Oryzias latipes: one gene and its partners. The protein of the gene in region 1 purifies or fractionates together with the protein of each later gene. This does not show direct contact. Links are inferred from orthologs where the notes say so. Each region holds a gene or a part of one and is shown in the gene's direction. Other genes may lie near its edges. The genes, in order: cops8, ddb2 and dcaf1.

What was found.
Region 2: the proteins of cops8 (region 1) and ddb2 purify together in Homo sapiens (affinity purification with mass spectrometry; 6 studies listed by BioGRID and IntAct, counting the BioPlex papers as one, with this or other methods). This does not show direct contact. The link is inferred for Oryzias latipes from reciprocal best matches to the Homo sapiens genes COPS8 and DDB2.
Region 3: the proteins of cops8 (region 1) and dcaf1 purify together in Homo sapiens (affinity purification with mass spectrometry; 4 studies listed by BioGRID and IntAct, counting the BioPlex papers as one, with this or other methods). This does not show direct contact. The link is inferred for Oryzias latipes from reciprocal best matches to the Homo sapiens genes COPS8 and DCAF1.

The regions. Positions count from the first base shown.
Region 1 is NC_019879.2:1,339,954-1,343,709, forward strand, and holds the start of cops8 (COP9 signalosome complex subunit 8), read left to right. Parts: upstream 1-1,308; 5' UTR 1,309-1,368; coding exon 1,369-1,440; intron 1,441-1,844; coding exon 1,845-1,915; intron 1,916-2,402; coding exon 2,403-2,451; intron 2,452-2,709; coding exon 2,710-2,842; intron 2,843-3,635; exon of another isoform or gene 3,636-3,756. UniProt on the Homo sapiens protein: Component of the COP9 signalosome complex (CSN), a complex involved in various cellular and developmental processes.
Region 2 is NC_019864.2:16,130,811-16,134,566, reverse strand, and holds the start of ddb2 (DNA damage-binding protein 2), read left to right. Parts: upstream 1-1,023; 5' UTR 1,024-1,243; intron 1,244-1,334; 5' UTR 1,335-1,336; coding exon 1,337-1,472; intron 1,473-1,545; coding exon 1,546-1,658; intron 1,659-2,078; coding exon 2,079-2,270; intron 2,271-3,750; coding exon 3,751-3,756.
Region 3 is NC_019865.2:16,273,513-16,276,769, reverse strand, and holds part of dcaf1 (DDB1- and CUL4-associated factor 1), read left to right. Parts: intron 1-246; coding exon 247-329; intron 330-749; coding exon 750-834; intron 835-945; coding exon 946-1,179; intron 1,180-2,100; coding exon 2,101-2,194; intron 2,195-2,735; coding exon 2,736-2,840; intron 2,841-2,938; coding exon 2,939-3,012; intron 3,013-3,091; coding exon 3,092-3,187; intron 3,188-3,257. UniProt on the Homo sapiens protein: Acts both as a substrate recognition component of E3 ubiquitin-protein ligase complexes and as an atypical serine/threonine-protein kinase, playing key roles in various processes such as cell cycle, telomerase regulation and histone modification.

The DNA.
Region 1 (3,756 bases):
GAGATATTTATACCTAAGTACTTTATGTTGCCTGTTTGTATTTTAATAGATGACGGATTTAGATAATTGCAATTAATTGGTAAAATTGTGCTTTTAGACCAGTTTATGGAGTATTCTGAAACTGAGGAAAATCTATTAATTAGGGAGATGATTTGGCAGATGGAAGATTGTGAATTAGGAGTAAATAGTAAACATCATCTGCATAAAGTCTTATTTTGTGTTTTAAATTTTTGGTTTGAATGCCTTCAACAGTCCAATGGTTTTTGATGGACCTGCTGCATCTGCACGTTCATGTGGCGTCTCATGTTTAGTGGCCACCGGCTCCCTCTGGTCAAGTTTTACCACCAGCTCTCTTGGAACTGGATATAGGCCGCTCTAAACAGACGCAAAGATTCGCTGTGAAAATGCCTGAGCTTGTTTGGCTCCATGCTTGTGAGAGAAGACATTCTCTGTTATGAACTTAAATAAGAACCGCGTGAGGACGGGACTGAGGGTCTGTCACTAGGGGGGCAGTCTTTGAGCCAGATCTGACCTTTCTGCTGCAATCGAGATCTCAGTATCAGCATCCCATTAGTGCAGGGAAGTTCTTTATTCAGTCTTCTGTAGTGAATCATTTCTAAAATGGCAGTTTGTGTGTGTGTGTGTGTTAAAAGTACAGAGGTTTGTACTGAAAGAGAAAACAGTTTGTGTTAAGTTTTCCTGTTCAAACAGTTTAAATCTAGAAGTTCACGTTGAGCATTTAACAGTGAATAAAACTTAACATTTCATAGGAACCCAAATGTATTGTTGATCAACTTTTATTTTGCGGGCAGACCTTTTATTTTATTTGTAGTCTTCAAATGTGGAATTCACAGTCAATTTGGTTCATATTTATTTAATGAAAATATTACTGCAATAAAACTGTACATTCAACTGTTCATTTGCATCATTTGAATTTAATCTTATTAAAATAGTTCAAGAATTCAGGTCGAATCTAGTCAGCCAACAATTGTTCAAGTTCTCCCACCTAAAAAGATGAGAGGCCTGTAATTTTCATGATAGGTAGGTAAACCTCAACTATGAGAAACAAGATGAGAAAAAATCCTCGTTTGAATTTTTTCCATGTTATTTTGGAAACTGGCAGCACAGAAAGAGAAAGGATTGTTTCCTTGGATTTTGTAAGAGAAACTGTTCAGGGTAGTTGTTACAGAAAATATTTTTTTACGCCTGTAGATGGTGGCAGTATGACACGACAGTCTTCTTTCTTCTTGGAAGAAAGCCATACATTTAAACTCCGTCCAGCAGGGGGCAGTGTGTGTCGCTCCCCCGGAAGCTCTACTTTGAATCCCTACAACAGAAGAAGCTCCGGCGCTTCGGCTAGGCGTCATCATGCCTACAGCTGTGACTATGGAGGAAAGCTTTGATAAATTACAGGAGCAATGCGAGGCGCAGGAGCTTGAGGTGAGGAGCAGACGCTTCCGGGTGATGCGGGGAAGTGGGCCGCTGACGCGTCTGCGGCAGCGCGACGCCTCGGCTGTTTTAGCCACGGCCGAGGCTAATGATGCTAGCTAGCGCCGATGTAACTGTCAGGACGCTCCGGCTCCTAGCCGTCGCTAACGGAACGTCGTTGGCAGAACGAACAGAAAGACTCAGCGATGTGTGCAGACGCGGGATCCGCTCTGCTGTCGATTCTAAGCGCAATCTGTGGGATATCCCGGTGTAGAAATGTCGTTAAAACTGTCTTCAGTTAGCCTCTGGCTTTACTACATTCAAAACTAGAAAGGAAAGATCAACGTCCGCGCATGCTCAGACTAACTCGCTTCTCCTGTCTCCCCCGTTGCCCCTCCCCGCTCTGCTGTTGCTAGGCGCCAGGAGGCATCGCCACCCCGCAGGTGTACGCGCAGCTGCTGGCCCTCTACCTGCTCCACAACGACATGTGGGTGAAGCGCGCGCGTGCGCGCTCCCGCGAGCCTCTGGAAGATGCATCGATTTGTCTTGAAAAAACGAGGCCTTCCTCTGAATAGATTTTCCACAGAAAGAATTCTAAGAGTTTCTGAATGTTTCAGGTTTTCAAAAGTCTTTTTTTCCCAGCCTCCTTTGAGGTTAATCCTTTTTTTGTTGTTGTTGTTCAGCATCATTACACTCACAAGTGTTCAAGCATAGCAATGCACTGACTGCATTCAAACCGGACAACAAAAGAGAAAGACGAACTAGAGCCAGTGTTCAGGGAAGTCCTTTAGCGTTCACTCAGAAGGGTTCTTCACACCACAAGGCTTTAAAACATGTCTATCTTTAAAAAAAGAGAGACTAAGATTTTGTACAGCTTTGTTTGTGTTCGGTTGAATCCCATTTTTGCTGCCTGCAGCTGCATGTCTCATCTCAAATGTCCTCTTTATGTCTTTCTGTTGAATTGCGTCTAACAGGAACAATGCCAGGTATCTATGGAAGCGAGTTCCACAAGTAATCAAATCGGTGAGTAATCACAAGGCCTTTTTTTCCCCTTTATTTCATGAAAAGTACCAGTTGCTCTCCACTTCTTCTACTGATGTCACTGTTCTCTTTCTATGCTGCTAATAGTCTGACTGGCTTCAGTCGTAGACACTCCTGATGTTTGTCTGTCTTAAAAACGGCACCGTATTCAGGTGTTAGTCCACCTACAGGGGTTTTTAGAGCCCCTGCCTTCATGAAACGGTGCGGGAACATGGACTTGTCTTTCTGTGATCCATTCAGGCGAACCCCGAGCTCACAGCGATCTGGACCGTAGGCCAGCACATTTGGCAGAGAGACTTTCCAGGGATCTACTCAGCCATTGAAGCTCACCAGTGGTCGGAAAACATCCTCCCAGTCATGGAGGCCCTTCGAGGTAATTACAAAAATCAGGACTTGATTTAAGTTCTTTAAGATGATCTGATCATTTCTTCTACAAACCACTAATTAAGGCAAAGTTAGTACTGTTCATACATTGTGCTCTGGGGTTGGTGTGGAACAGGAAGCTCCTCTTGTGGGTTTGCTAAAGTGACTTCAGGATTTTCATTGGATAAGAAATACCCCAGTTGGACTTTGTGACAGCTGAAGGGCCAATTGTGATGCTTTATGTCCACTTTATGGAATATTTGCTTATTTTCTTACACGCTCAGTTTTTGATACGGATGGATTTTCTTACGGCTTTTATTCTGACGGGCTGAAGACTGAGGTGTTGCTGTCATGTGATGTTTGTGCCAGAGTTTAAGAATAGCTTCTCTGGGTGTTTATGGTGCTTGCTGTTGATCTGCCATTCATGCTGAAAAACAGACAGTCATGACACTCTTGGGTAACATCTGCTGAGGACACGGGGCTCACACACCAACATGATCTTTATCCAGTGCCAAAGTATTCACATTACATGTTTTTACTGTATTAGGACACTATGTCTTCTACATTTAATTATTTGCAAGAGAAAATACTTGAAAGATGTGTCTGTAGTTCTTCACATGGTCTTACATTGTTGCCCTTGATTGACATCCTGTGTATTTTACTTTTTGTTAAAGTTAGAATAGAATAATTATAGTCATTGTCATTTAAAATGCTCACTGGTCAGTTCGCTCTGTTTCCAAAAACATAATAAAATATAAGTAATACTTAAAAGTAGGTATAAGAATACAAAGCCCTTTATTATGTGATAAGCCCTTGAAATATAAAACCCTGAGAATGAATGTGTTTCCATGTTTACCCACTGATGAATAACCCTGAGAAAAGGTTGAATTTGGAAAAATCAAACTGTTGACTTGCTGTTTATCA
Region 2 (3,756 bases), on another chromosome or scaffold:
TTTTGAATCTTCCCGACTCAGCCTCTCGCCAGAGAACTTTTCAAATCCCACAACCGCCAATAGGATCTCAGAACAAGGAACACGAGTGTGTTGCGTCACTTCCGAGTTGACCAAATTCCAAAAATATTTTTGCAAACACGCAGCAGTCGATGTAGTCAATTACTTTTTTAAAAAATAAAAGTAAATTTATAAAAGTAAGAAAACTAATCAAATATTAGAAGGAGCGAACGTTTACCATGAAAAAAGACTGTAATTCTAGTATGCTTATGTTGCATTTTGGGTAGGTTTGTGAATTAATTTACTGATATGTACATAAAGAATGTTATTTTTGCCTGTTGCTGAAACACGACATAATACATTTTCATATGGCAGTTGTTCTCCTGTTTATGGACATGCTGCATTATGATGTTTTGCACTTTGTGTAATTTTTTTAAAGATTAGCTTTGTTGGTTGCTTGTCTTAAAGTTTTTAAATTATTCAAATTTGACTACTTTTTTAGGCATGTTGAGCTAATATGACATAACTCGGAGCCTTTCAGAAAAAAATGTTTTCAAATAAACAGGGGAATGCACCATTGCATGCTATATATGAAATCAAACGTTTGTTTAGTTCCACCTGATGCAAGTGTAGTTTATCCATCTATCTATCTATCTATCTATCTATCTATCTATCTATCTATCTATCTATCTATCTATCTATCTATCTATCTATCTATCTATCTATCTATCTATCTATCTATCTATCTATCTATCTATCTATCTATCTATCTATCTATCTATCTATCTATCTATCTATCTTAATAATACTAATAACAATTATTATTACTATTATTATTGTTGTTGTTGCATTTAATAATGGGTGATTTTTAATTTGGAAAATGCTAAAACTATATACCATTCAGAAATTCAGAATTGATAATTAACTAAAATAGGTTTAACTTAAAATCTTACATCAAATTGTCCAGTTAAAAATGCACACACACAAAAACATTTTAATTGTACTGTTGACTGATGATGTGCAAGTTTCACAGTGTGTAGCGTTTTCTTTAGTCTGTTGTATTGTATCAAGTTTTTAAATAAAGTTTCTTGAAAAAAGGGAGAATTTGTAAATAAACAGCGCCATCTATCGCGCACCAGCTGTCATGGGCTGAAGTTACAAAACATCTGCTGCCATTAGTCACGTGCGCTTCCGTGTTATGCAAACATAGACTTTAGATTAAGGCGGTTCTCTTCCACAATTACAGGTAAACTGCACATTTACGGGGTTTTCTAGAGGAAAGATAGAGAAGTACACAGAAGTGGTTTTGTTCGTGTCATATCGTCGAACTCTGACAGACATGAAAAGAAGGAAGAACACGAAACCAGGTGAAAATGGACCAAAGAGTCAAGTGAAAAAAAGAACTGAAGCAGACTCTGGAGCATCACTCTCCAAAAAATTAAAGGAAAAGATAGAAGTGAAGACCTCTGAGCCAGGTGAGCAGTACTAACGGGACTGCATGAGTTTACTCTGAGGTCATCATCCTGATTTGAATGAATTTCACTGCAGAGCGTCCACCTGTCAAGCCCCATACAGCTCAGAGGAGAAATGGCCATAACAGCATCCTGCACTACATTTACAGGAACAGTCTAGGCCAAAGTCTGCATTCTCAGATGAGACAGGTAAGTCAGTATGGACAGAAAGAGGGGGCTGTCTGCTTTAAAAATAACAATAATAAAAATGCACCAACAACAGATTTAGTCTGTCAAGTGTAATCTGGAACCCAAATGCAAATCAATGCATTGAAGTGAACAGAGACGGCAGACCAGTTGATGAACAAGGCGCCCTCTTCTCTAGGCTTCTGTCTGAAGACTTGATTGGAGAAGAAGAATTTTACTAAACAGAAAAAAATCCCTAATGCATTTTATGGATTTTACCCAATAGTAACAATCAGTTTGGTCACAAATGATAAAAAAAAAAATAGTTATAGACTTTTGTATTTATTCTTTTTAATTGGTGGTTTAAAAACAGATTCTGAATATTCTATCTGAAATGATGGAATGTTGTTGGGTTTTTTTTCTTTTTGCTGTTGCCTCTTGCAGTGTCTTCAGGAGCCCTTTGTCCGCTCTCTCTCCGCCTATCATTTCCATGGTGCTACCAGCCCCTTCGATCGCAGAATCACCTGTCTGGAGTGGCACCCCACCCATCCCACCACACTAGCAGCAGCCTCCAAAGGTGGAGACATCTTTCTCTGGGACTTTGAAAAGCCCACAAAGAAAAGCTTCATCCAAGGGGTGAGCTCCTGAAAAAGCACAGTTTTAACCAAAGAAGTTGCATAAGATTTTTTTTTCTTTCAGGATTTCAGCTTTTTGTGTGTTCGTGCTTGCAAAACGTCACACAACTCTGCACAACCATATGTTTTAGATAGACTTGACAATGCATTTTTCATTCTTCTCATTAGATTGATAGGCTTAACCACTTACAGTTTTTCTCAGTCGCTTTAGTACAATTCTCAGATCAGAATTAAAGTTTGCAAATATGTGTGTGCATTTCTCAAAACAATTTGTACAAACAGCAAAACACTATGGATTTCTTGCAAAAGCCTGTAACTTGCTCAAAATCTTTAGTTCATCTCTGAAAACTAAGTCTTTATGTCATTGAACATGTCAGTGCCATCAGAATGTCAAGTCCTTGTGTCATTGTCTACGAACAAGACAGTCAAATGACTTAGTCATGTTGTCAATATAACTGTGTACTTTAGAGGGAGGTTCTGATGTAAACTATGGCTAAAGTTTTGATGACAATTATTGTAAAACGTAAGTTACACCTTTTTTGTTTGATTGCAAGAGACTGGACAAGATTCACATTTACACTTTTATTATTCATATTGTAATTTGTTGACAGACCATGTCATACCAACATAGAAAAAACCCACTGCAAACAGTAACACAAAGGGAAAAAAAAGATAGGACAATATTCTGTACAACAGTACAGGCAGTGCAGTAGGAATTGGTGTGGTTTTCCGACACGTCTTGTCGTTCCTGTATGTTAGGCCACAAATTCTCATCCACATCACAGCGAATATCTTCGCTTGCAATGCAGCGAAATATGTTTGTCACATTATGACAACTTGGTCAACCATTTTGCAGTTAATGACTTATACGATGAACTAATGACTAGGTGTTTTGAGGAGTAAGACTATTGCACAGTGAACTATATAATACATTTTGATCAACATGACATAAACAATTGATAATGTAGCAAAGAGCAGAGAATTGTACATAATCATTTGCATGAATGTACCAAAGCAATTGCAACTTGTTCATAGAAGTGAGAAACTGCTTATATGATGTGCACAAGTGACATCATGATGTGAAGATTGAACAAATAGTTTTGGGAATTTCATTCTGATCTGAGAATTGTACTAAAGCGACTGAGAAAAACTGTAACATCCCACTCAGCTGGACAGCTCAGCTATAGGGGATACGCAGTGCTTCCACAGTCAAGTGCGACAATTCCAAGAAGTTGCTCTAGCACATATGAGTCCTCTTTGTCTAAACATGGCTGCCCAACTCTAGTACCCAAGAACTGCCATTCTATACTTGTTTTCCAGCTGTGCCTCCACTCTCTGATTGATGGACTTCAGCGCAGAGTAGTTGGATAGTTGGGAAAACGAGTTGTTGCTTCTCAGAATCGAAGTTGCTCAAGCCCTCGGTTTCAAGTCTCAGTTCAGCAGTTGTCTTATGTCGTTGCATTTCCTGCTTTTGTGCCCAGAATGGA
Region 3 (3,257 bases), on another chromosome or scaffold:
TGCTTTTTAGGCAGAAATGCAAACAAATATCCATAAATAAGAATGTGCTTTTTAACAGGCAGCTTTTATCCACTAATAATATTTTGAACAAGAAAACATTTTTATATTGAATGATTTCAGGTTACCCTAATACATTGAAAATGCAGATTTTCCAAATATAAATAATGGACGTTTACTTTTAGGGAATTCAAAATGATTTTAAAATATTTACCTGTTTCCAATATTTTTATAATTGTTTCTTTTTAGGATGGTTCTCTCCTCTTGACATCAGCCTCTTGGAGTTATCCTTTGTCTGCACTGTGGGGAATGAAATCGGTGTTCATCATGAAGTGAGTGGTGTTTTCATCAACCTGACACACTAACCAGCTTTAAACCAGAATCAGAATCCGCTTTATTGGCCAAGTACAGTGCATATACAAGGAATTTGGCTTCTGTGTCTTGTGCTCCTGGCAAACCAAGCAAGAAGGTATATAAGAAAGTGTAAAGGGGTAAAGGCAAAAAAGGATAAATAATAAAAAAAGTAATATGAATATACGGCTGTGGGATTCTCATTTGGTAGTACCAATATATTGACTTTGCTTAACAAAACTCATAGAAAATGTCAGGGCCGCTGCTGCAATCTGTGAATAAAACCCAGGAATACTACAGTTTCTTCATCCAGTAAAAGCTTAGAATTCTCTGCTTCACAAGTTTTTAATGTTTTAAAAAGGCTGACAGGAATGTTGTTTGTGTGTGTGTTTTGTTTTTAGGCATTCCTTCCTTGGGGACCATTATGTGGAGTTCAGTAAGCTTTCCCAAGATCGTGTCATTGGAACAAAGGAACATGTAGCACGTGTATGTATAATTGAGCATTTCTTTCTTTTTATTAATTTCTAGAAGAATGTATACAATTGCAGACAATATTGCAGTGTAAAAAGGTGAACATTTCTTTCTTTTCTGTGCCAGATTTATGACATCCAGACCGGACAGGTCACTCTTACTCTCAACAACCCAGACCTGGCTAACAACTACAAGAAAAACTGCGCTACTTTTAACCCAACAGACGACCTGGTGCTGAACGACGGAGTGCTTTGGGATGTGCGCACAGCTCAGGCCATTCACAAGTTTGACAAGTTCAACATGAATATCAGCGGCGTGTTTCACCCCAATGGCTTGGAGGTCATCATAAACACTGAGATTGTATCCTTTACTTTGAAATATATTAAAATTTTCAGGCTTTGGAAAGATAAACGAGTAATAATTATCCATTTTAAACATGAAAGACTATGATATTGCATTTTTTACAAAATAAGTTTACACATAATACCCGTATTTTCCGGACTATAAGTCGCTGCGGAGTATAAGTCACATCAGCCCAAAAATGCATTATAAATTAGAAAAAAATAAAGATAAGTCGCACTGGAGTCGCATTTTGACGGAAAATTTATTTGACAAAATCTGAGACCAAGATACAATAACTTTCACAACCTCATATGACACAATCATAGCAGACTGTTTATCTCATAATTTCACAGTAATTCTTTCTCATACTTATTTATTTATTCCTTTCATGAAGCATCATTGGCTAACTAATACTCTGTTCTCATCCTGTATTTGTAGAAACAGTTGTCAATTCTATTGCATTTCTGAATCTATGAAATCATTGGAAAATAGATTATGTCCTTAGCCTTCAAGATCTTACTGTAAAAAAAGTTTGCTGATTCTCTGAGTCACTTAACATCCTCTTAACACTTAACATACCTCATACATCAAATTGAGCCAGGAACATCATCTCTGTTCCTCACAAATGAACATAACAGGAGGGTTAACAATGTATTTATTTCAATTTATTTCTAATATAAGTCGCTGCGGAGTATAAGTCGCACCCCTTGCCAAACTGTGAAAAAAAGGGGCGACTTATAGCGGAAAATACGGTAGATGTTTTTTAGACAGCAAAAATGCACAGAAGTCCTAAATTGAGGCGGTAAATGAAACTGTTTTTCTTTCACTTGAACCAGAATCGGCTGTAACATTACTGGTAAATGTGTGGCTTGCAAATTAAAATGTCAACAAAGGCTGGGAAAAAAAAAGAATATTATGCCACTTAACTGCCAGTTTTAGTGGGATCTGCGCACCTTCCACCTCCTCCACACCGTTCCTGCTCTGGACCAGTGCAGAATAGTTTTCAACAACAGCGGGACTGTCATCTATGGAGGCAAGTATACAAATCACCAGGGGATCGATTCAACACGTCCGTCCCACAAACTGTCAGGCCTGTTTACAGGAGAAGAGATCTAAATAACTCCAGTTTTGGAAAATCTGACATCACAACACAAAGAAAAAGACACTTGATATTAGCATTTCTAATTCATTTGGTTTTTGATTTGCCTTATGCAATGACAATTAAAAGTTATTCCAAAGTTGTTTTAAAATGTATAATTGCATGTATTTTGTAAAACAGATGGTCAATTTAAAATAATTTTCTTTTTAAATTAATGGTTACGGTAAATGTATTCTGCTGTTATTTGAAAAAGAAAGTTTGTCACTTCTATTTTTCAGTTGAATTTCTTTTAGAAATGCTTTAGAAAGTAAATTAAATTCAGCACGTCAGAAAACAAAAATGTGTCTTTTCAGTTGAATTTTCTGCCAATAATAATAGTAATAATAATATTAATAATAAATTATTTAGCAGATGGGGCAGAAAAGCTTCAGCTGCTTTGTTTTCTAACCTTGTCTGTCATTGTGTCTGTTTGTAGCTATGCTGCAAGCTGATGATGAAGATGAAATGATGGAAATGCAGATGAAAAGTCCATTTGGCTCATCGTTTAGGACCTTTAATGCTACAGACTACAAACCCATTGGTAAGATTTTCTAAAGAAGCTGATCATGATGTTTATGTGACTTTGATTTAAAAAGACTTGAATTTCTCAGGAAAGTGACACATCATTTGTTTTTGCAGCCACTATAGATGTGAAGAGGAACATATTTGACCTCTGCACAGATACAAAAGACTGCTATCTGGCTGTGATTGAGGTAAATTCTATATTTTGAAAGAATCTTTTTGGCTTGCCTAAGTTTCCAAAAATAAGCTATGTTATTGTCTTTTCAATAGAACCAAGACTCTGTCAACACTGACACTGTGTGTCGCCTCTATGAAGTCGGCCGGCAGCGACTTGCAGAAGAAGAGGAGGAGGATGAGGAAGATCAGGTTAAACTTTTTTTTTTTCATAAAATCTGAACTGAGAAGCAGATCTTATACCTGCACTTTATGACTGAAA